3 linked regions of the Stegostoma tigrinum genome follow. The protein of the gene in region 2 purifies or fractionates together with the protein of the main gene of each other region. This does not show direct contact. Links are inferred from orthologs where the notes say so. Each region holds a gene or a part of one and is shown on either strand. Other genes may lie near its edges.

The links. Proteins that work in one complex are often made in the same cells at the same time.
Region 1: the proteins of alyref (region 2) and c1qbp purify together in Homo sapiens (affinity purification with mass spectrometry; 3 studies listed by BioGRID and IntAct, with this or other methods). This does not show direct contact. The link is inferred for Stegostoma tigrinum from reciprocal best matches to the Homo sapiens genes ALYREF and C1QBP.
Region 3: the proteins of alyref (region 2) and prmt1 purify together in Homo sapiens (affinity purification with mass spectrometry; 3 studies listed by BioGRID and IntAct, with this or other methods). This does not show direct contact. The link is inferred for Stegostoma tigrinum from reciprocal best matches to the Homo sapiens genes ALYREF and PRMT1.

What each region holds. Positions count from the first base shown.
Region 1 is NC_081380.1:3,374,937-3,382,004, reverse strand, and holds the start of c1qbp (complement component 1 Q subcomponent-binding protein, mitochondrial), read left to right. Parts: upstream 1-4,068; 5' UTR 4,069-4,127; coding exon 4,128-4,359; intron 4,360-4,904; coding exon 4,905-5,055; intron 5,056-6,512; coding exon 6,513-6,600; intron 6,601-7,068.
Region 2 is NC_081375.1:11,189,981-11,197,216, forward strand, and holds the start of alyref (THO complex subunit 4), read left to right. Parts: upstream 1-4,217; 5' UTR 4,218-4,615; coding exon 4,616-4,906; intron 4,907-6,428; coding exon 6,429-6,560; intron 6,561-7,236. UniProt on the Homo sapiens protein: Functions as an mRNA export adapter; component of the transcription/export (TREX) complex which is thought to couple mRNA transcription, processing and nuclear export, and specifically associates with spliced mRNA and not with unspliced pre-mRNA.
Region 3 is NC_081391.1:22,304,076-22,311,957, reverse strand, and holds the start of prmt1 (protein arginine N-methyltransferase 1), read left to right. Parts: upstream 1-4,882; 5' UTR 4,883-4,909; coding exon 4,910-4,927; exon of another isoform or gene 4,928-4,986; intron 4,987-7,882. UniProt on the Homo sapiens protein: Arginine methyltransferase that methylates (mono and asymmetric dimethylation) the guanidino nitrogens of arginyl residues present in proteins such as ESR1, histone H2, H3 and H4, FMR1, ILF3, HNRNPA1, HNRNPD, NFATC2IP, SUPT5H, TAF15, EWS, HABP4, SERBP1, RBM15, FOXO1, CHTOP, MAP3K5/ASK1, MICU1 and NPRL2.

The DNA of each region.
Region 1 (7,068 bases), on a different chromosome or scaffold from region 2:
GAAACACAGTCAAAGCAAGACAAGGTACATAGAAAATCAGAATCACAGAATTCGAGCAGAAATGTCCCTGCACCGAATGTATTATCTATAACCAATCCCCTTTCCTTTCCCATACCCCAAACACACCATTACTATCCAAAAGTATCCAAAGCTCTCTTGAATGCTTCAATTGAACTTGCCTCCACATTTCCAGGTCATGCATTCAATATCCTGATTCATGCTGTGTGAAAAAGTATTCTCACATCGCGTTTGCTTGGTTTGCATATCACTTTAAAAGATCAAACAAATGGAGCTGTGGTCCAAGATGGTGACAGAGTATGACGCTTCAGCCAAAGCTTGTCTGCTCTGCCTGCTCTTTTCTTGCTCATTGTCTTTTTCCTCTTCTTCCCTCCTGCCCTCAATTGACTCCTGGCCTCAGCACAAACATGATGAGAGGTCCTCTCAGCCTGACATAGTGGCCTCCCGTGGCAGTGGTCCAGTGTGGCATGATGGTCTCTTGAGCTGGTCTGGCCTCAGCGTGGACTCCCAGTCTTGAGGTGATTCCAGAGCAATCTCCCAGGTGAAACCCCGTGCAGTCTGGAGCCAAGGCCTGGTGGCTAGGTGCCAGCATGGTCTGGGCTGGAAGACCCTTGTTCTGAACTTTTATTTCTGCAATGCTGGGCTTTTCATTTCTCTGTTTTCTAAGATCTTGTAACTAAAGAAGCTGCACTTAGGTACCTTTGTACCTAAGATGGTGCGTTAAGTGAGGACTTATAAACTTTTCACTGTCATCATTTCAGTACATGTGCAAAAGCTAATTCTAATGTAGTGACTATAGCTGAGACCTAGCTTAAACATGGACAGCAACTGGAATTAAAAGCTGCAATGTTTTAGGCAGGGATTAGGGAGGAAAGGGACTTTGGAAGGTGGCAAGTAATGGCATTATCCAATTATAGGTTTAGAGTTCTACATGGACAATGTACCAGATGGTCAAAAGATGGAATTGATTTGGTTCCTTCTATTTGTTTCTGATGTTCCCCCTTGATGTCCAACACTGAGAATATATCTCCCAGACTAAGGCAACTATACAAACGTAGGTAGAGCTTGTCTAGGTCTAGGTCTTCTCTTATCTGTTTCTTCACCTTAGCACCAGCATTTTCTATGTTTGACCTCTGATTCCAAGGTGATGAGACAACACACAACCTCCAGGCAACATCATCCAAATGCAATTACCAGGGCCAGCAGTGGAATCTTAGAGGGGAACTAAATCTAATAAAGAAATAAAGCTTGTGTCCAGAGTTTCTGTCATTAAGAGAAATAGAATCAGCAATAGTAGTTTCCAAATAAAAAGTGATGCAGAGCTTATAATCTAAAATCATTAAACTCAAGGGCAAACTTGTGTCTCCATTGCTTCCAGACATGATGAGAAAGCAGGCACCCAATTTGTGTTTAGTCAACCCATCAACTTCTGCAATGCATGGAGTGGCTAGGATCTGGAATGCAAAACCTGAGAGTTTGTTGGAGTCAGATTCAGTCAATGGCTTTGGGAGGGAATTGGATTATTATTGAAAAAGGAAGACAGTACAGGGCTATGGAGGAAAGGCTCTGAGCAAATTGCACATCCTGAGGTCTGACAAAGACACAATGGGCCGAATGGTCTCTTTCTATGCTGCAACAATCCTGCAATTCTTTGCAGAACATTTCCATGCAGTCCATAAGCACGATCTCAAGGTTCCACTTTGTTCCTTTCTGACCTCACTGTCCTCAGTTTGCTGCCATTTTCTAATGAAGTTCAATGTAAATTCAAAGAACAAAACCTCATCCTTTGATCCAACTCATTACAGCCTTCCTGACTTGGCGGGAGAGAGACTATATATCCTGTCGGTCTCAGTTGAATCTCTCTCTCAATCTTCAGTAGTCACCTGTGTCCAGACTATTGCAGCATATCTTTTTAGATGTTGTCTCTCCAAGTGATATCCAGTATCCTGTGAAGGTGGAAGACATCCAATCTAACAATTCCCTTCCACAATCCTGTATCCCTTTTGTCATTGAAATCAGGTATCAAATTGGGACTAGATGCCTTTGATTGGTTCCTTGATTCCAACAATTGATTTGTTTTTCAAAATCACCAGCTGTTTAGTTCCACAATCCTAACAGTTGATTGGCCCCTCAATCCCAGAAGCTGATCTCTCAATTCTAAGAGTTGATTGGTTCCTTAACACCTAAAGCTGATTCATCCCTTTACCCTAGCTGATTGCTAGGTTTTTGAACCAGTTGATTTGTTCCACCCATTTCAGCAGCTGACTGGTTCAAAAACCAGCAGTTGATTGGTTCCACCCATTTCAGCAGCTGATTGGTCCCTCGATCCCACTGGGGTTGCTGTGATCTTTGAACTTCACTGTCACTGGTCCCTCCACACCAGCAACTGATTGGTCTCTTGATCCCACCAGCTGAATGCTCCACCAATTCCAGTAACTAATTGTTCTCTGAATTCCAGAAGCTGATTGGTTTCTTCATCGCAGCAGCTGATTGGTCCCTTGATCTCAGTAGCTGATTGGTCTCTCAATCCTAGCGTTGATTGGTGTTTCCATCCCGTGAAGTTAATTGATCTTTCGATCCCAGCAGGTGATTGATCCCTTCATCCCAGTAACTGATTGTGTCTTCAGCTCAAGCAGCTGATTGGTTCCATCCATTTCCAGAGTTGATTGGTCCCTCAATCCCAGCAGCTGATTAAATTTGGTTTTAGACTTAGATGTTTTATTGTCAGATGAAAAGTGTACAATGTTGCCACATCTTAGGTACAATGGTAACACAGCGTGGAGCTGGAGGAACACAGCAGGCCAGGCAGCATTAAAGGAGCAGGAAAGCTGACATTTTAGGTTGGGACCCTTCTGTTGTGTTCCTCCAGCTCCACACTGTGTTATCTCTGATTCCAGCATCGGCAGTTCTTACTATCTCTCAGGTACAATGGTACCCAGGTAGAAAGTGGTAAAGGAGAGAAACAATGTTAAAAGTTAAACATTACAGTTTATCATGGTGTAAACAGAAAAATAGAGAAATAAAGTAATAGCTAATATTAAAGTCCTTAATATTAATTGGAAAAATAAAGAAATTAAAGTTAAAGTTGCAACATTTTCTTGTGTGCTTAGGCATGCTGTGGCCTCGAACTCCTTTGCTTAGTTCAGTCTCTGGGAGATGTCGGCTGTCTGGTTCTCACCACTGCTGTCACAGATGCGGGGAGACCTCAGTCACCTCTCGCTCTTTCCACATTTCCGTCGCTCCACGCTCCAGACCTGACAAAGCCACAATCCCTTCAGCACTGAAGCAGCCACCTCCAATTTCCTCCTGCTGCTTCCGGAACATGCTTAGGCAACATCCATCACCAAAAAAAGGAGAAAACGAAAGCAAAAAGGAATTTAAAAAGAAAAGCAGATGTATGTGGACAAACTCAGGAGCTTGAACGCAGCACTGCTACACCTCCGCTCAATTAGTCCCTCAATCTCAGAATCTCATTTAGTGCTCATTGCCAGTAGCTACCAGTCCCTTGATCTAAGAAGATGATTGGCCCCTGAATTGCAGCAGCTGATTTGGACTCTTGATTCCAGAAGCGGATGAGTATCTCAATCCTAGCAGCTGTTTTCTCCATCAACCCCAGCAACTAATTGTTCCCTCGATCACAGATGCTGTTTGGTCTCACTTTCCCATTAATGATTGTTCCCTAGATCCCAGCAGGTGATTGGTCCCTTCATCCCAGTAGATGATTGGTCTTGCGAGCCCAGAAACTGATCGGTCTCTCAATCCAAGCAGTTAATTGGTCCCTCACTCTTAAGAGTGGATTCATCCAAGGATCCCAATCGTTCTTTGGCTGCTCAATTTGAATATATGATTGCTCCCTCCATCCCAGCAGCTGATTGATTCCACCATCCCAGCAGCTGATTGGTTCCTCCATCCCAGCAGCTGATTGGTTCCTCCATCCCTGCAGCTGATTGGTTCTCCATCCCTGCAGCTGATTGGTTCCTCCATCCCTGCAGCTGATTGGTTCCTCCATTCCTGCAGCTGATAGGTTGTGGTTGGGGGTGGGAGGAACATGGTGTTGCTCTGATTTTTTCCGGTTCCGGGTCACGATCTTCACGCCGTTCCCTGCTGCCATGCTGAGGCTCTCGTTCCTGTCCCGGCTCGTGTCGGTCTCCTCCCGCCTGGGCCCTCAGGCCACCTTGACACCGCCGATCGCCTCCGTCCTGCGGACCGGGCCCCCTGGGATCCGCGGCCTCGCTCGCTCCATGTGGTTGCTTTCCAGCTCGGCCTCGGGCCGCAGGCCGCTCCGTTCCAGCCACCTTCTCAACGGCGTGTCCTGCGGCTGCGGGGCCCTGCACACGGAGGGTAAGGGAGGGGGTGGGTGCACAACCGGTCCCCGCCCCCCCCGCCCACCACCACCAAGCCCCCCCCCCCCCCCCCCCAGGTCCCCCGCCCACCACCACCAACCCCCCCCCTCCCCCCAGGTCCCCTGCCCACCACCACCAAACCCCCCCCCCCCAGGTTCCCCATCGTCCCGGTTCCCCGCCCCCCAGCTCCCCATCCCTGTTCTCAGCCCCTCGCCCACCTCTCCCTGGTTCCATGGTGGGGCTCTCTGCTCTGGTGTGCTGTGCACTGCTGTCCACAACTTGGCCAGACAATCCCACCCAGGCTGTGCTGCAAAGTGGGATTAGAATGGTTAGATGATTATTCTTAAACTCAATGGGTTTAAAGGGCCCTTTTCTATACTATTGACTTCTATAACTTAGGCTCTAAGTTGAAGGTCTCCTCTTCTTCAGGGCCAAGTCCTTGGCTGTGAAACCAGCGAGAGCTTTGGGTCGCTGTCTGTGTGAAACATGATGGGGTGTTCTTGTATCTGATCTCAACTGGCTGGATTTGCATTGTCCCTGTAGGTGACAAAGCATTCGCTCAATTTCTCACTGATGAAATCAAGGAGGAGAAGAAAATCCAGAAGAGTTCAACACTGCCGAAGGTGTCAGGAGGCTGGGAAATTGGGCTGAATGGGACTGAGGCGAAACTTGTAAGGAAAGTTGATGGTGAAAAGTAAGTGAGGTCACTCGGGTATCATTTGGGCAAGCAGCCAATTTGTATGTTTTTAGTTAAAATCATGTCAGTGGATTGTGGATAGGAAAAGAATTTGTTTTTTTTTAAACAAGTTCCATGGATTTGTTTTTAAAATCTCACCTGAACTTGATGGTATTTCTTTAACAATTCATCCTAAAGAAAGCACTTCCTGTTGTGCAGTAGATGATGGACAGGAGTACGTAACAAAGGCCACATGGCTGATAGTTTCTGTTAAAGTTTCTTTTTCATTCCCTCATGGGTGTCTCTGGCAGGGCCAGCATTTATCCTCTATCCCAGCGGACAGTTAAGATCAACCATGTTATCCTCAGTCACGTGTAGGCCAGACCAGGTAAGAACGACAGCTTCTTTTCTTTAGGAAGGAAATCTGTTTGCCACGGTCAGATTAATAGCTTAAAGCTAATATCTCCAGGCCTTCGCTTCCCCAAGCAAATAACATTGAGTCCAGTGTAACATTTTTGGATCTGGAGATGGTGCCGTTATCTGTTGGATTTCTCCAGCAGCTTGTATTTAAGATCTGAATCAGCAGTAATTGTTTTTATCAATATACAAACTCCTGGAGCAGGGCATTTAAATCCACAACGTCTCAGTCAAGTGAAAACTAAGCCAACAATCCAATACCTCAGCACCAGTTACTTCTGCCCCAAAAGAATTGAATGTAGAATGAGTATGTACTACACTCTGAAAAATGCATTTTAATTTTAGAAAATATGTTGAAATACATTTGGAAGTCCAGGATTTGAGTGAAGATTTGTGGCTGCAGTACTGGTTGTAGATGTTGGTGTGTTTGCCGAGCTGGGAGGTTTGGTAGCAGATATTTTGTCCTGTTTACTGGGTGACATCCTCAGTGTTGTGGAGCCTCCTGTGAAGCATGTGCCTGTGAACCTGCACAAGACAACAGCGCTTCTATAATGGGAGTCTGTTATAACTTGGACTCTAGAGTCTAATAAGTGAGATTGCATAATAGATGCATCATGTTAACGAGAAAATTTTTAGCAAGCAAAATGAGGATTAAATAGAGATTTAATTAATTTTGAACTCATAAGACCCCCCCCCCCAAACCATAATCAGTTTTGTATATTGAGCTGAGTTATCATAGAATTTCACTGTATATTTAGTCTAGAAAGCTTACAGTATCAAATTAAGATTATAATGTTCACCATTGCATGTAGATTCTGATAGTTCCTTAGCCTGTGCAGGACCAGTATTCAGCTTTAGTACATCATTGTCAAGTTCTTAAATGTCATGACAAATATATTACTAGTCCCAGTTTTAAATGAAGTTTGGCTGTGAGCAGTTTGAGATCAGAACGTGCTCCCTGTCATTCTCCGATTCTTTGCAGTTCAGAATTGCAGCTGGTGACACCTTTTTGACTACTTCTTTATCCATAGTGACCATTTACCTCTTTCTGTTTGTAGAGTTACAGTCTCCTTTAATATCAATAACAGCATTCCGCCAACAATGGAGGAGGAACCACAGGAAGGACAGAAGGGTTCAGAGAATGAGGTGAGTTGGATTGAACTTGCACAGTACTCTTGACTGTCACCTTAGTAAAGTTGAGAGGTAATTAAACAGGCATTAATTAAACAAACTCCACTGTGTATTGTTCATCCTGTGCCCTGGGTTGAGTGGAATTTTGTATAGATAGGAGTTGGAGGTCTGTCTATGTGAACAGAATGTACATGAGTATTTAAAAGCCCTTTAAAGCACCACTTTATTTCCTAGAATCCCAAAGCAGGCAATATTAGAACAGTGAACGCCATTGGTCTCGATAACTGACTGGGTGAAAAGTTTGAACCAGAATGGGTTGAACTTGAACTTTTGTAAAAACCTACCTGGGCATACGAGTTCTGTATTTGGACGTGTGGTCTCACTGGGTGGTACGGAGAGGTGGATCTGGGTACAGTCAAGGCATGTGGAAGGTAACTTGCTATAGGCCTTACCCTCTTGCCCTTGTCCAACCTAACGTTAGCG
Region 2 (7,236 bases):
CCGATCAGGGTCATGTTCCACATAAACCACCCCCTCAGTACCACCATTCTTAAAACCCTTATCCCAATATTTACATTGAAATGTTATTTATCAAGAATCTTTCTTGAGAATCAAACCAATTTAGTTGGAAAATGAAAAATCATAAGGAAATGACAAATGTTGTTACAAAATGTAATTGTTTTTAATCCATTGAACAGTTTGTCATAAACAAATGCAGACATCGTATGGGATAGCTATATATAAATCTGACTTTGAGAAAGATATTAGCAGTAAAAGATTAGAGATTTAAGATTCTCAGACCAAACTGGTAGTAATTGTTCAATTGCTAGAACATAAAGTATGAATTTATTCATCAGTTATAGCCCTTATTACCGACTCCACATTTATAGTACTTTGATTTTTCTTTCTTGAAAAGTACAGAAATAATGATAATCATCAATAGAATCAGTTGTGACTAGGCAGAAGGTATGTCCTTGTCTCCTTTGACTCATCCCTTAATCAGCTGCAGTGATTTTAACATTGGGACCTTTTATAATCCATGTGGGATATGTTCACTCTTGATGGGAATGTAACCAGGAAATGACAATTTTCAACAGATGAAACAGAAGAATAATTGTTCCTGAGGGGGTAGTGACTGATGCCAAGCACAACTAATAAATTTCTGAATGTCAAACTCAATGTATTTGTTCCCATGGGCTTCTTACTGTAATTTTATTCTGAAGGACAAAATGAGCAGAATCAAAAACAATAACCCATAAAATATAGCACAGATTTTCTAAGTTATGCCATTGAAACAAGTTAGCCTGCTTCAGACTGTTCAGTAAATCCTTTAAAGTTATGAATGGATCTGCAATGCTCAAATACAATTATGTATTTAATGAAATGCCTTCAAAATAGTTTGACATTTCCTTCCTCCACCCACAGACAACATCAACAATATTCCTCGTTAATTATCCCCTCATTTTGGAGTCCAGTTTTTGAAAGAAATGCTCACAGCAAAGCTTAACGTTAATGGAATTTGAACCAACATATCCTGCTTGAAGTTTAATAGTATTCGTTGCATCGCCAATTCAATTGCATTGACCTTCTGAAAAGAAACAGCAACTGAGTGTGAAAGAAACTGATTGCTGCAACTGCTTTGTTTGAGTTACAGAAAATTAATTATACAAATTGTAGTAATGTAAGAAGTGTGAATCAGCGATCAATGCTGGTCAAACTGGAAGAGAAAGTGTATGAAATGAAGGATATATACTTGGAAGCAAGGCGAGAGATTACCACTGAGGATGGTCCATGCAAGGACTTGAATTAGGGGTGGGAAAACACATGGTTCTTGGAGAGGACAGCAACATCTTGTGTTTAGTGGTAGAAATGTCTCGTCACATAGCAGGCTGATAATCAAAAACTTGGCACCTGACACGTAAGGAGAAGCCAAAGAGGTAGGTCTCAAGGAATGTCTTAAATGAGTAGAAAAAGCTTGAAGAAATTTAAGCAGGGTATTTCAGTGCTCACAGGCTAGGCAGCTGAAGGCATGGTGGACTGATTATAATTAGGAAAGCACAAGAAGCAGAATTAGAGGAGTACAGAAGACTTGAGAGGCTGGACAAGGTTGCAAAGTTAGTGAGGGGTGAGGCTATGGAACTATTGTGCAGATAGAATCGTAGAATCCCTACAGTGTGGAAACAGGCCCTTTGGCCCATCTAGTCCACACCAACCCTAAGAGCATCCCACCCAGATCCATCCCCCTATAACCGACCTAATCTACACATCCCTGAACACTCCAGGCAATTTAGCATGGCCAATCCATTTAGCCTGTACATCTTTGGATTGTGAGAGAAAACTAGAGCACCCGGAGGAAACACATGCAGACAAGGGGAGAATGTACAAACTCTGCACACACAGTCACCTGAGAGTGGAATCAAACCCAGGTCCCTGGCACTGTGAGGCAGCAGTGCTAACCACTGAGCCACTGTGCTAGCTAATGGGAAGGTGAATCTTTACACAGGAAGGAATGCAGTTTCATTACTGATGTTAAGTTGTAAAATGCTGAACACGTGGCTTCAAGATTTGTAAGCTGGAGAGAAAGAGATGGAAACAGATGTGGGTCTCTAGGCCCGAAACATCAGCTTTTGTGCTCCTAAGATGCTGCTTGGCCTGATGTGTTCATCCAGCTCCACACTTTATTATCACAGATGTGTGGCATTGTCATGAAGTTGGAAGAAAGCAGTCCAATCCCCATCAGAATAGATGTCTAGTGAGCTCAGCTTGAAGTTGAACCGTAGAACAGCTCTACACTTCCTGATTTAGCCTAAAGGTAGTTGCCAAGGGAGTATATGAGAGGGGGAAAGGGCCAAATTTAAAGACTATAGGCAGGGGCCAAACAGAATGGGTTAAATTTTGATTGCATTAATCTGGAAATTGTGGTTGATGCAGGCAATTGGACAGTGCAGCAATGTTTTTTTAAAATCATTCACTAACTGGGGACATTGCTGGCTATGCCGACATTTGTTCCTCATTCCAGGGGATAGTTCAGAGTCAACCACTTTGTTGTGAGATGGAGTTACATGTGATCCAGACCAGGTAAGGATGTCAGTTTCCTTACCTAAAGGCATTCATGAACGATATGGGTTTTTTCCTGACAATCAACAATGGTTTTATAGTTATCATTAGACTCTTAATTACAGATTTTTGTAGAAATTCAATTCTACCATCTGCCACGGCAAGATTTGATCCTGGACCCCCACAACATTACCTGGGTCTCTGGGTTAACAGTCCAGCATTAAAACTGCTAGACCGTCGCCTCCCCCTTTGGACTGTCAAGGGAGTCAGACACTGTGTTGAAGTCAATCCGAGTTTATGATGATATCAATAAATTATAATATTACTAGAGGAGATAGGGTTAATGGTAGAATCTATAAAATGCTAGACTTATACCAGATGTGAGTTGAAATAGCAGAACTAATTTTGGGAGGCAAACAGAATGTTAACAAAAAGCTGCAGTTGTATGGCTTTACTTAATGTAGCCCAGCCCTATATGTGAATGGAGACTCAGTCTAAACAGCCAGCCATAGAGAGGGACAAAGGTTGATCTGCCCCCTGGAGCAAGCTAAAATAACTATTGAACAACACCATGTAGCAAGCAGTGATGAGCGGAACCTGCCTCTATTTGATGATTAGGTTTCCTTGCAGCAGGCAGGTGCTGTGCCTGCTGGTATGGTTGTTGGTTTCTATAACTGATAGGTTGGTACCACTGGGGCTGCAGTGTACAGACAAAATAGTGGAAACGTTTTTGATTCAATGTTTTCTGTATGCCCCTTCAAAAGACACTTGTTAAAATTAATAGCTGATCAATGAAATGTGTGATTCAATTTTAGATGGTAATCTTTGCCATTTTGCATTACAACATTTTTTCTTTAGCATTCCCCAATCCCTCCACACCACCATCCCCCAATCTTTCTCCTAGACCTATCCCCATCCCTCGCATCCCTGTCTCTCCAATCCCCATACTTCTCTGCATTCACATCTGATTCCCTAATCCCACCCCATTCACCCCAACTCAACCTAAATCTCCCCCAAAAATTCCCCCACCTCTCCCTGAAACGTCCCTCAAATCACTCCCACAAAATGCCCACCCTCTCAAATATGCCCCTTACACCACCATATAAATATCCCACACCCCCGCAGAAAAATCCCAACCACATAGCCCTCCCACAAATCAGAACCGAAATAACAATGAGTGTTGTAAATCAGGAACAAAAGCAAAGTTGCTGGAAAATCTGAGCAGGTCTGGCAGCATCCATGAAGGGGGAAAAAACGGAGCTAACGTTTCCCTTCCTCAGAACGTCTTCCCGACATATCAACCTACCACACACACACACCCTATTCCCATCCATGTATTGCTACCCAGCCCTGCTCATTCCCCACATCTCGCCCCCCAACTCCTGTGGGAGTTACCAATGAAGGCTGAGAAACTGCTCCCCCGAGGAGGTGTAGAGCTGGAGGAACGCAGCAGGCCGAGCAGGATCAGAGGAGCAGGAAGGCAGATGTTTCGGACCTTGTTATCTCAGATTTTACCGCGTCTGCAGTTCCTGCTACCCCCGAGGGGGTGTGTCCATGGCTGCGCGTGACGTCAGCACACGTCACCGCCGCGGGGGTTCCGTCTCATGCTCAGTTTCTCTGAATGGGCAGAGCCCGGCCCCGTTGTTTGTTCCTTCCCGCCTTGCCCGCTGATTGGGCGCATCCTAAGTGGGAGTCGTTGATGACGACTGCTATTGTGACCGGCCGTGGCGGGCAGCGCGTGCGCAGTGTGTGGACGGGCCGTCGTCACTCCCCATCCCGCCCTCTCTGTCCTTAAAGCCGCCATTAACCGTGTCAGTGAGGTGCGGCGCCGCGGTCAAAGCTGCGATAGATCGTTATACCAATTTACATTATATATATATAAAAAAACACACTCTTTAATCAAGGTGTTTTTTTGTTGATGAATCTGGAAAATTAGCTTGTTTTTCGTTTCCCCTGTCGGATACTCGAAAGCCAAGCCCTCCGTCGTGAAGAGGCGGTTTTGTTGTGTGGGGCGGGAGAAAGGGATTAAAGGGTTTTTTTCCTTTCTCCGAGAGCAAAAATGGGCGACAAACTCGACATGTCCCTGGACGACATCATCAAACTCAACCGGCAGAAAAGCCCAGGCGGCCGCGGGGGCCGAGGTGCCCGCGGCGGCGGCGGAGGAGGTGGTGGTGGTGGTGGAGGAGGAGGCGGTATGGGCCGGGGAGCCGGCCGAGGCGGCCTAGCCGGTCGTGGAGCAGCGGGAGGCCGCGGTGGCGGTGGAGCTGGGGCGGGAGCCCTGGCTGTAGGCCTCATGCGCAACAGACAGAGTGCAATCCGAGGAAGAAACAGACCGGCTCCGTACAGCAGGGTAGGAAGCGACCGCGGTTTTAACACACAAAAAAAACAGAAATGATAGGGGAAAAAAATGTTTCATTTAAATCCAGAGAGAGAGGAAGGAAAAACAAATCATTTGTAGATTTTTATTTTGTTTTTTTTCTGGAAGTGCTTTTTTTAATATAAAACGTTCGGTTTGAATTTTGAACCGAGCGGCGCCATATTGGAGCCGTTATAGATTCGGTTTTTTTTCATTACTTTTTTAAAACAAAAATCTTTTAGCCCGCTAACTTTTTAAAACAAACCCCGGGCCCCGCTGGCCACGAGTTATTTTTTTTCGTGAAAACGTCGGAGAATCGAGGAAGAAGGGATTGTTACACGGCGCCTCGTGATTTCTACGGAGGAGGCTGACAAGCGGAAATTCGTGTTTTCGTTGCTAATAATTTGCTTTTAAACGTCCGTCCAAGTCTGTTGAGAGCTCGGAAATGTGATGGCGGCTCCCGAGCAGAGCCTGCGGTCGACACCGGAGCCGAATTCACCAGGAGCTTTAAAATGGCGGCCCGACCCGAAGCACAAAGATGTCGGGGAGGAGCGTGGGGATCAGCAATCCTGCCGCAGTAATAATGCCCTCGCTCCCTTTGTGCTTCACACCGACGGATTTACAAAGGATGGACTGTTTGTAAGGACCACCTTTTGCCACTTTACCACATCAAAAGTTCGATTGATTATTTGCACCGCATTTCTCGACGGCAGCTTCGCATCTCTGGTCACCTTTAACAGACTCCTGAATTGATCAGGACTATTTCAAACTGCCTCTTTTTCTTTGGACTTTAATGAAACGTTCATACAAAAGTGAACCTTCTGCGAGCATATCCTTCGCTCGGTTGGTTACCTGGCAAGTCATGGACTTTTTTTTTGAAGGACTCTTGATCAGTTCTATTAAAAGGAACTTAGCTGATGCAAAGCGTTCCTTTGTTATGGACTCCTGCGCTGCCAAGAATTTTGGACAGTGGAATGCATCTCGCTTGGAAGAGATGGAGGCGTTGCAGCTGTTTCTGCTGGAGAAGCTACCACCAGCTGAGGAGAATTTCACCAAAGTATCTGGCTAGTGGCTATTAGAAGGAATCCAGGCTTTAGTTCGAGATGATGTGCTGTGGAAACAGTGGTAGGATAATAAGTGAATTCATTTCTCACCAAGTAAACAGTTGCATCTGATTTTCTATGCTTAATTTTCATCTATCATTGTGTGTACAGGACCACTTTATATGTTGCTAGCTTAGTGAACTGAGTACAAACATTTTAATTAGATACTAAATTATATTCAGTACATACGCACATGTCATTTTGTTAAATAGTTAACCCATTTCAGGTAAGGTCAGTGTATTTGTAATGAAACTCCCATGACAATCGCTGAAGCAAGTGACTCAGTCTTGCCTATAATATATTGTAAATATAGGGGGAGGGGAAAGATAGATAGGGTGGACATGTGAAATTAACCAATGTATTGGGGTACAAAATGTAGGAAGTCAGCGAGGTATATCTCTATTTTCTTATAGCCGAAACAACTCCCAGACAAGTGGCAGCATGACCTTTTTGACAGTGGTTTTGGCGCTAGCGGCGGTGTTGAAACTGGTGGAAAACTCTTGGTGTCCAACTTAGACTTTGGTGTGTCTGATGCAGATATTCAGGTAAGTGAAGTGCAGGATATTGGTCCTGAGTTGTGGGTTGGAAATGCTCATGGGTATTCTAGTTTGTTTAGAATTGAACTCTTCCTGCCACTGATTAAACAATACAACAGGATAGTGTGGAAGTTATTTTTAAATAGCAATACAGTTGGCCTTGCTATTCTCTTCTCTTTTTATCCCCCCTCAGACTCTTCTCCCTGAAGTGTGGTTTTTGTTATGTTACGTTGTTTTGGCTACTCTAAATATATGTCCAGCACCCCATCACCTGCAGATCCTAAAGTCTAGGTACTCTGGCCAATAAATCTGATGATCAGTTTGGTTTGATAAGATGATATACTGAGCCACTAAAAACTGTTCCTATCTAAATGCATTGTTTCAACCCCCTTTTATCAAACCATTTCCTTTCTCCAGAAGGAGCGGAATCCTCCTCCAAAACATCATCTCACTTGAATTTCATGTACCTTTTTATTCATTCCAGTATGTTGTCCTCAAAGACTTTTGAGTATCTTCTGCTTAATGCACTTCCAGGTTTTAATTGTTTCTAGACTTCAGACTTGTAGTTCCATGTCCCATGTCTGTCATTAGTCTTCAGAAATCTGACATGATTTAAATATTAGCTGTTGAAGTAAATGGCCTTGACTCATTGCTTTGCTCTGAGTGGTCTTGCAGTTCTCATCAG
Region 3 (7,882 bases), on a different chromosome or scaffold from region 2:
GTCTGTATTTCCAGGTAAAAGGAATGAATTTTCAGATTAGTCATGATCTAATGGAATGGAATGATGGAAGATGCTTGAGGGGCTGACTCTCATGCTTCTGTAGAATGGTCACTTTATTTTTCTTTATTCACACGACATGAATATCACTGGCTAGACTAGCATCTCCTATTGCCCACAGGGCAGTTAAAACTCATTCACATCACTGTGGGTCTGGAGTCACAAACTGGATAAAGTTGGCACTTTCCTTCCCTAAAGGGCATCAGGAAACTGGATCGGTTTTCCCAACAATTGGTAACGGTTTCATTGTCGCTGGACTCTTAATTTCAGATTTTTATTAGGTTCATCTACCACGGTCAAGATTTGAACGTGGATCCCCAGAACATTACCTGGGCTTCTGGATTAATAGCCGAGGGATAATACCTCTAAGCTATTTACTCCTGGCACTTGGCAAAGGTCTACCTGGACCCACAGAAGCCGATACAAAGAAAACCTTGACAAGGGAAAGTCTTTGTGTACCTAAGGGGATGTGAATTGTCCGCCTGTGCTTCCTTATCACTATCCAGCAACTAATAAGTATGCATTTAGAATGATTACAATACTGAAAAAGACCATTCAGTCAGATTATTGATAATATGTTTAAGATATGATGTGTTTAGACATGTTTCATATTCTTGCTGGGTGTAGTTTGTATGAACTAAATTGTTTGAAGCTCAACTCTAATTTGTAAGGATCTTTTAACATCCTCTGTACAGATGTTTTACAAATAAATGTCTTTCTAATGAGGTGTGATGAGACACTTATTGTTTTTCCTCAGCATGGATGTCTGATTCTGATTTTGTCATAGAGGTACACAGACCCTTCGGCCCAACTCCTCCATGCCGACCAGGTTTCCTAAACTGACCCAGTCCCATTTGCCTGCATTTGGCCCATGTCCCTCTAGACCTTTCCTATTCATTTATCTGCCCAAATGCCTTTAAAATGTTGTAATTGTACAGCCTCTACCACTTCCTCTGGCAGCTTATTCGATATATGCACCACCCTCTGTGTGAAAAAGTTGCCCCTCCGGTCCCTTTTTAAATCTTTCTCCTTTCACCTTAAACCTATGCCCTCGCGTTTTAGATACCCAATGCTGAGGAAAAGACCTTGGCTATTCATCTTACCTATGCCCCTCTTTTTTTTTAAACCTCAATAAAGTCACCACTCAGCCTCCCATGTTCTAGGGAAAACAGTCCCAGCCTCTTCCCTATAATTCAAATTTTCCAGTCTCAGTAATATCCTTAAATCTTTTTTGTCCCCTTTCCAGTTTAATAACATGTACTGTTTCAACTTTTGTCTCCCTTTGCAACAATGGAACGTGCAACCATATGTTCTGCTGCATGGACCCTAAGCTCTTAAATTCCTTCACTAAACATCCTTTCTCTCGATCATTCTCCAAGACCTTGCAGGGGTTTACGGGGCCTACCAGCTTCATCTGTTTTTGGTTTAAATAGAATCACAGAATCCCTGCAGTACAGAAGCAAACCACTTGGCCCATCGAGTCCACACTGACCTTCAGGAGAGCATCCCACCCAGACTTTAACCCCCCCCCCCCCCCACCCCCCACCCACCCCCCCCCCCACCCCCCACCCTATCCATGTACTCTTACATGGCTAACCCACTTAGCTAGCACATCCCTGGGCACGATGGGCAATTTAGCATGGCAAGTCCGCTCTAACCTCCAGATCTTTGGACTGTGGGAGGAAACCAGAACACCCAAAGGAAACCCATGCAGACACAGGGAGAATGTGCAAGCCCCATACAGACAGTTGCCCGAAGCTGGAATCAAACCCGGGTCTCTTGCGCTGTGAGGAAGCAGTATTAACCACTGTAAACGTCTGGTAATGCGTTTGTGAAATGTCTTGAGTCACTTAGTTAATTAGAAGTATTGGTTATAATTTGGCTTATTCCAGAGCTTAAAATTAGTAGTTAAATGGATCATCAAGGATGTTTGCAACCAAGAGGAGGCATTCCTCCAGCATTTAATTCAAATCCCTTGGTCAAATTATGGTCGCTGATGACTGGATGTGCAGAAGGTGAGTGATGATTTCATGGTTAGATTGCTGTCTCATTCACCTTCCTATTTTTGTGAAAGTCGACAAGTTATAGTCTAACAGGTTTGTTTGAAGAGACAAGCTTTCGGAGTCTCGCACCTTCTTTAGGTGTCAGTGACTGACATTGTTTTTATGAAGGCTAGCTGGAGTTCCTGCTCATTAAAATGGAACTTCAGTGGTTAAGAAATGATGAGCTTCTGTTTCCATATTGCCTTGATCTCAACTTCAGGATACCCTATAATGTCTTAGAGCTAACAGTGTAATTTTTAAGGGTAGCCACTGTTGTCCCATGGAAGACATAACTGGCATCGTGGAGAATTTCATTGTCTCCTTCATTGAAAAGAGAGAGCCAAGTTATGTGATATAATCTAAACTGTGTAGTGATTTGCCATTGATCTGTGATGGTCAGGCAAGTGTTGCATGCCAGAAAGCAAAACAGAAGTTGCTGGAAAAGCTCAGCAATCTGGCAGCATCCGCGAAAACAAATCAGAGTCCAACATTTCTTGTGCAGTGACCCTTCCTCAGAACTCTGCTGCCAGACCTGCTGAGCTTTTCCAGCAACTTCTGTTTTTATTCCTGAATTACAGAATCTGCAATCCTTTTGGTTTTTATGTTGTACAGCAGGAGCACGTTAATAGATTCCTTTGCTTTCCAATGTTTAGTCTAATCCCTACTTTACCGCCTCCATTAATGTATGGTTAGCAGCTCAGCCTCTGAATATGCAGACGTGCAGACATTATCTGCAGGTGGTAGCTCAATGCTAGAGGTTGGGGGTGGCGTTGTTTCTGGGCTGGGGACTACGCAGGGTGGACAGTTTCCTGCTCGTGTAAAGAAGCCGCACTCTGGCTGGAACCTTCATGGATGTGGAGTGGAGGGAATACCCTTTAGAACTGAGATGAGGAGGAGTATCTGCAGCCAGAGGATGGTCAATCTGTAAAACTCATTGTCACAGACGGGTGTTGAGGCCAGTCGTTGACTGTATAAAAGACAGTAATGCATAGGTTTGGAGGTTACGATGAGCTGGCAGGAAAATGGTGCTGACAAACACATCAGCCGTGAACAAATGGTGGACCAGACCTGATGGGCTGAGTGACCTAATTGTGCTCCTACATCTTTAAAGGTCTTCTGAATTATTTGAGCAGGGAAGATGGAGAATAATGTTGCTATAATTCAAAACTTTGCTTGGCCTGAGTTTACACAAAATTGGGTTTGTAGCACATTCATTGGTGAGAACTATAATTTGCATGTTCTGCCAAAGAGATTTTACTGAACTTGAAATGTTAACTGTGTTTCTCTCTCCCCAGATGCTGCCAGACCTGCTGAGATTCTCTAGCATTCTATGTTCTGTTTCACAGTTTACAGCAAATGGAGGATGATAAATGACTTTAAGAGGATGTTACACAATCCCACCTAGTTGACGGAGTTAGAAGCTTTTGTGAATTCAGAGAAGGCTGTGTATAGAAATGGCTGCTGTCTGCACTTTTCTTGGACTTCTCTTGTAAGGATCCAAAAACAAAGGGCCACAAGACCCAAAACGTTAACTCTGATTTTTTTTTCCACAGATGCTGCCAGACCTGCTAAGATTTTCTAGCAATTTCTGTTTTTGTTCATGATTTCTTGTGGGTTTTTATTTTCTAATCAGTCTGTTCAGAGAGATTATTACACATGGTGCATGTATGGAATGAGCTGCCAGAGGAAATGATAGAAGCTGGTGCAATTATAACATTTAAAAGACAGCTATATGGGTTTATGAACAGAAAGAGTTCAGAAGGATCTAGGCCAAATGCTGGTAAATTGGGGTAGATTTAATTTAGGAGATTTGATCAGCATGGACGAGTTGGGCCAAAAGGTCTGTTTCTGTGCTGTACAAATCTGTAACTCTACCTCTTGAGCAGGTGGGACTTGAACCCAGGCTTTTTCATTCAGAGGTCAAAGCAATAGTACTTTGCCACAAGATCCCCATTAAAATGGGATTAGAATAGCGAGACGGTTGATTTTGACCATCACTCAATGGGCGGAAGGTTCTTTTTCTGTGCTGGAACCCTGTATGACTCTATGCACTCTGGAGCAGGTGGGACATCAATTCTGGCCTCCCTTTTGGGGATAGGTGGACTACCACTGTACCATCACTGTCATTATCAAATCTGACCATTTGTGCAGCCAACTTGAGGGGTTGCGTGACCTCCTCCAAATCCTCTAAGTTTTATGTTCTGAAAGTTCCAAAAGGTCGAATATTTCAGATGTGTAAACGGCAGTGAGCACTGTATGTAGTGTGCATCTAAAGGACAGATGTATACCTAATGTTTAGGGGTTTATCCTTCCAGGTTGTGGGATTTAGAGTAAACTTGTCCTAGTAACCTATGGTATATGTATTTAGATTAGCCTCCAAGCGAGAGGATGCTCCGAACTAAATGACTGACTCCACGTGTGTGCGGCTGTAACCTTCAGTATTTCCTGATGGAGCGTATTGGCCAATCGGAAGTCAGAGGAGGGCCGACTCCGGGCGATGGTCCGCCTCCACAGACTGATAGGCATGTGATGTATGCAATGGAAGGAGGCCGTTGGAGCCTGGTCCCGCCTATCAGACGCGCCGCCCAATGGGAAGGAGAGACGGCTCGATGTGACGGACTTTTGAAAGAACCAATGGGTGTTGGGAGCCGCAAGCGGTGGTTCCGATGAGCGGTCAGCCTGACCAATAGAAGATGTAGAGGTGGGGCCGGGGTTAAAGACCGAGCCAATGAACGACAGGTGGAGGGGCGGGGAAACCAAGGCGTCGTGTATAAAAGCGATGACGAAGATGACGGCCCTTCTTTCACAAGATGGCCGAGTGCATGGAGGTAGGTGCTGGAGGGCGGCTTTGAGGACCGCGGGGTCGAAGACGAGTGTGGAGGTCCAGGTTGGCTTCGCAATAAAAGCCCGACGCGGTGGTTTTGATCAGTTAATTAATAAACATGGTGTGATTGGTGAGGAGGGGGGCGCCTCAAATTTAATTAATTGTCCGTGTGGTGGGGGGGGGGAAATGTTCCCGGGGAGGGGGAGGGTGCTGTGAAACGAGGCCTCGAGTTATTGGCCCCCGCCCTGGGGTGGGGTTTGTTAGCCAGAGGATAGGCCCCTTGGCGGGAGAGGGAGGTGCATTACTGTCCCCCCCCCCCCCCCCCACCCCCTCCCTCCTTTGTGGGGGTGGGTGAACTTTATTATCGTTCTTCCCCCCCCCCCCCCCCCAAAAAGACTTCATTCCCCACCCAGCTCTGCTAGTCATTGTAGGTATAGAAGAACCCCCCCCCCCCCCAACCCTCAAACACACTCACCAGCTCCATTATCCCTTCAGTGTTTCACAATTTTCACTCCTTCCACCTGCTTCCTCTTTCTCTTTCTTTTTCTTTCTCTCTCTCTCTCTCTCTCTGTGTCTCTCTCTCTCTCTATCCATCTCTCTCTCTCTCTCTCTCTCTCTCTCTCTATCCACGTTTCTAATTGAAAGCAGTCCAGCTTACCTTTCTGTTTCAGGGCAAATGAGATAGCTGGTTGAGGGGGTGGGGAATGTCCCTTTGTTTGCCCTCATGACGGTTCTCAGTCTGAATCTCCCATCTATAGCTTGGAGCCAACTGTGCATAATTGTCTTGCTTAGCAAAGCGTAATTTTTTTTCTGGACTTCTTTTCACTTGAGCCAAAAGTTCTCTTTACCACCCCCGCCCCCCAACACCCCACTTTCCCTCCCCCGCTGCTTGAGAGGGGCTACTGGCCTCAGTTGTCTTTGGACGCTCTGGCCTTAGGTAATGTGTCGATTTTTATCTCCTCTAAGTTCTGTCATGTTGGGTCCACTTTTGGTTTGTGGAGCTGGGACTTTTAAGGTTTCTTAAAAACTGTGTCTGTGTTTATAAGTTGACTTACCAGACCTTCTATCCAAATCCATGTTTAGCCTCATCCTCCCTGTCAGAATTGTGCCTGAGGTTTGGTTGACACAGTAACCTCGAGTTTCTTGTGATTTTTCTTGTAAAGTTTACAAAGGCTGTTAATGCTGAATTGAAAATCTGTCAGTCTCACTGATTTTGATATGTGGCTAATGCGTGCTCATGAGTTCTGTGGTAAAGTTTATACAGGCTTAATACAATTTCCTGAATTTGTATTAATCATGATTTTAATATGAAGTTAATACATGTTCATAATTTTCTCTAAAATTTACAGATGCTTAATGCTGTATCCTGAATTTGTATTAATCTCACCAATTTGAATGTATAGTTAATGTGTTACAAAAGGTGCAGTTTTATGGAGCCATACAACATGGAAACAGAATGTTCTGTCCAAACTCAGCTAGTCCCATTTGCCTGTGTTTGGTCCAAATCCCTCTAAACCTTTAATATTAGTTTCAGTGATAATAGTGTGGAACGAGAGGAATGCAGCAGGCCAGGCAGCATCAGAGGAGCAGGAAACTTAGAGGGGTGTACGGGCAATGAAAGTTTTTGTTTTTAGTGGGGTGAGAGTGGTAGTAAACGTCAACTTTTGGGACCCTTCTTCGTGACCCGAAACATCAACTGTCCTGTTCCTTCAGCTCCACACTGTTATCTCTGACTCCAGTATCAACAGTTCTTGCTATCTTCTATTTCTTTCAGTGCCTGTTTTAATGAGGTAATCCTGAAGGAATGCACCAGTCACTATTAATTTTAGGGATTGTTTCTGACCGTAGCTCAGTTTAGATCTTTAGGTGCTGTTAATTTGTTAAATTATTTTTTAAAAGAAAGTCTGATTTATAAGGGGAGCATCTGAGTAGTGGGGTAGACGTTTTACATCTGTCATCTACCACTTTGTTCACTGAATCACCTCTTCCTACATCCAGTTAGGTGCTGTTTCCTGTCCTCATTAATTTTACATCACCAAATCTTCAAGCATTCTCATTCTGATTTTTGGGGTTTTTTCATGTCTTCATCCTCCTTATTGAGCCATACAGCAGGGAAACAGACCCTTTCATCCTCTCATCTGTGCTGCCCAGACGTCCCAATCTGATCTAGTCCTGTTTGCCAATATTTGGCCCGTATTTCTATTATCTACCTATCCAGATGTCTTTTAGATTTTGTAATTGCACCAGTCTCCAACACTTCCTCTGGCAGTACTTTCCATATGCACACCAACCTCTGTGTGAAAACCTTACCCCTGAGCTTTTATCTGTAACCCTGTCCATTATTGTTCACTATTGTTTGCACTCATGTTCTTTCACTCTTGTGCATTGCTGACCCTTGACCAGACACAGCTGACAGTGCAATGTCAGGTAGCTGTGTCCTGTGTTCTGAAATCGTCTCCTTCCACACACACTTCTCGAGTATGTGTCTTGTGTCCTCCCTTGGCTTCTACTGTGTTTTTGTGAAGGCACTAGATAAGTGCGGGCTAAAGCTAGGAGCTGTGAATGACGAAAGTTCCATTGATTGCTTCTTGATTTTATATATTTATATCTCTCATTCCAACAGCTCCTACCTCAGACTGGAAATTTTTCCTCCCCTGTTTTGGGTGAAATCGGTTATTTAACATTTCTGTTTGGTCTGTACGTCATTTGGATTTTTCTTTGGAGTTGGGAGCTTTTGAAGTTTTCCCATCAAGTGTGCATGGGCAAATGTGTCTCACTAACTTGGTTCAGTTTTTGTTTTGAAGAAGTAACAAAGAGGATTTGCAGGCAGAGTGGTGAACATGTTCTATACAAACTTCGTGAAGGTGTTTGACAAGGTCCCTCATGGTAGACTGGTTAACAAAGGCTAGAACACTACAGGGAGAACTATCCATTTGGATACAGAACTGGTTTGAAAGTA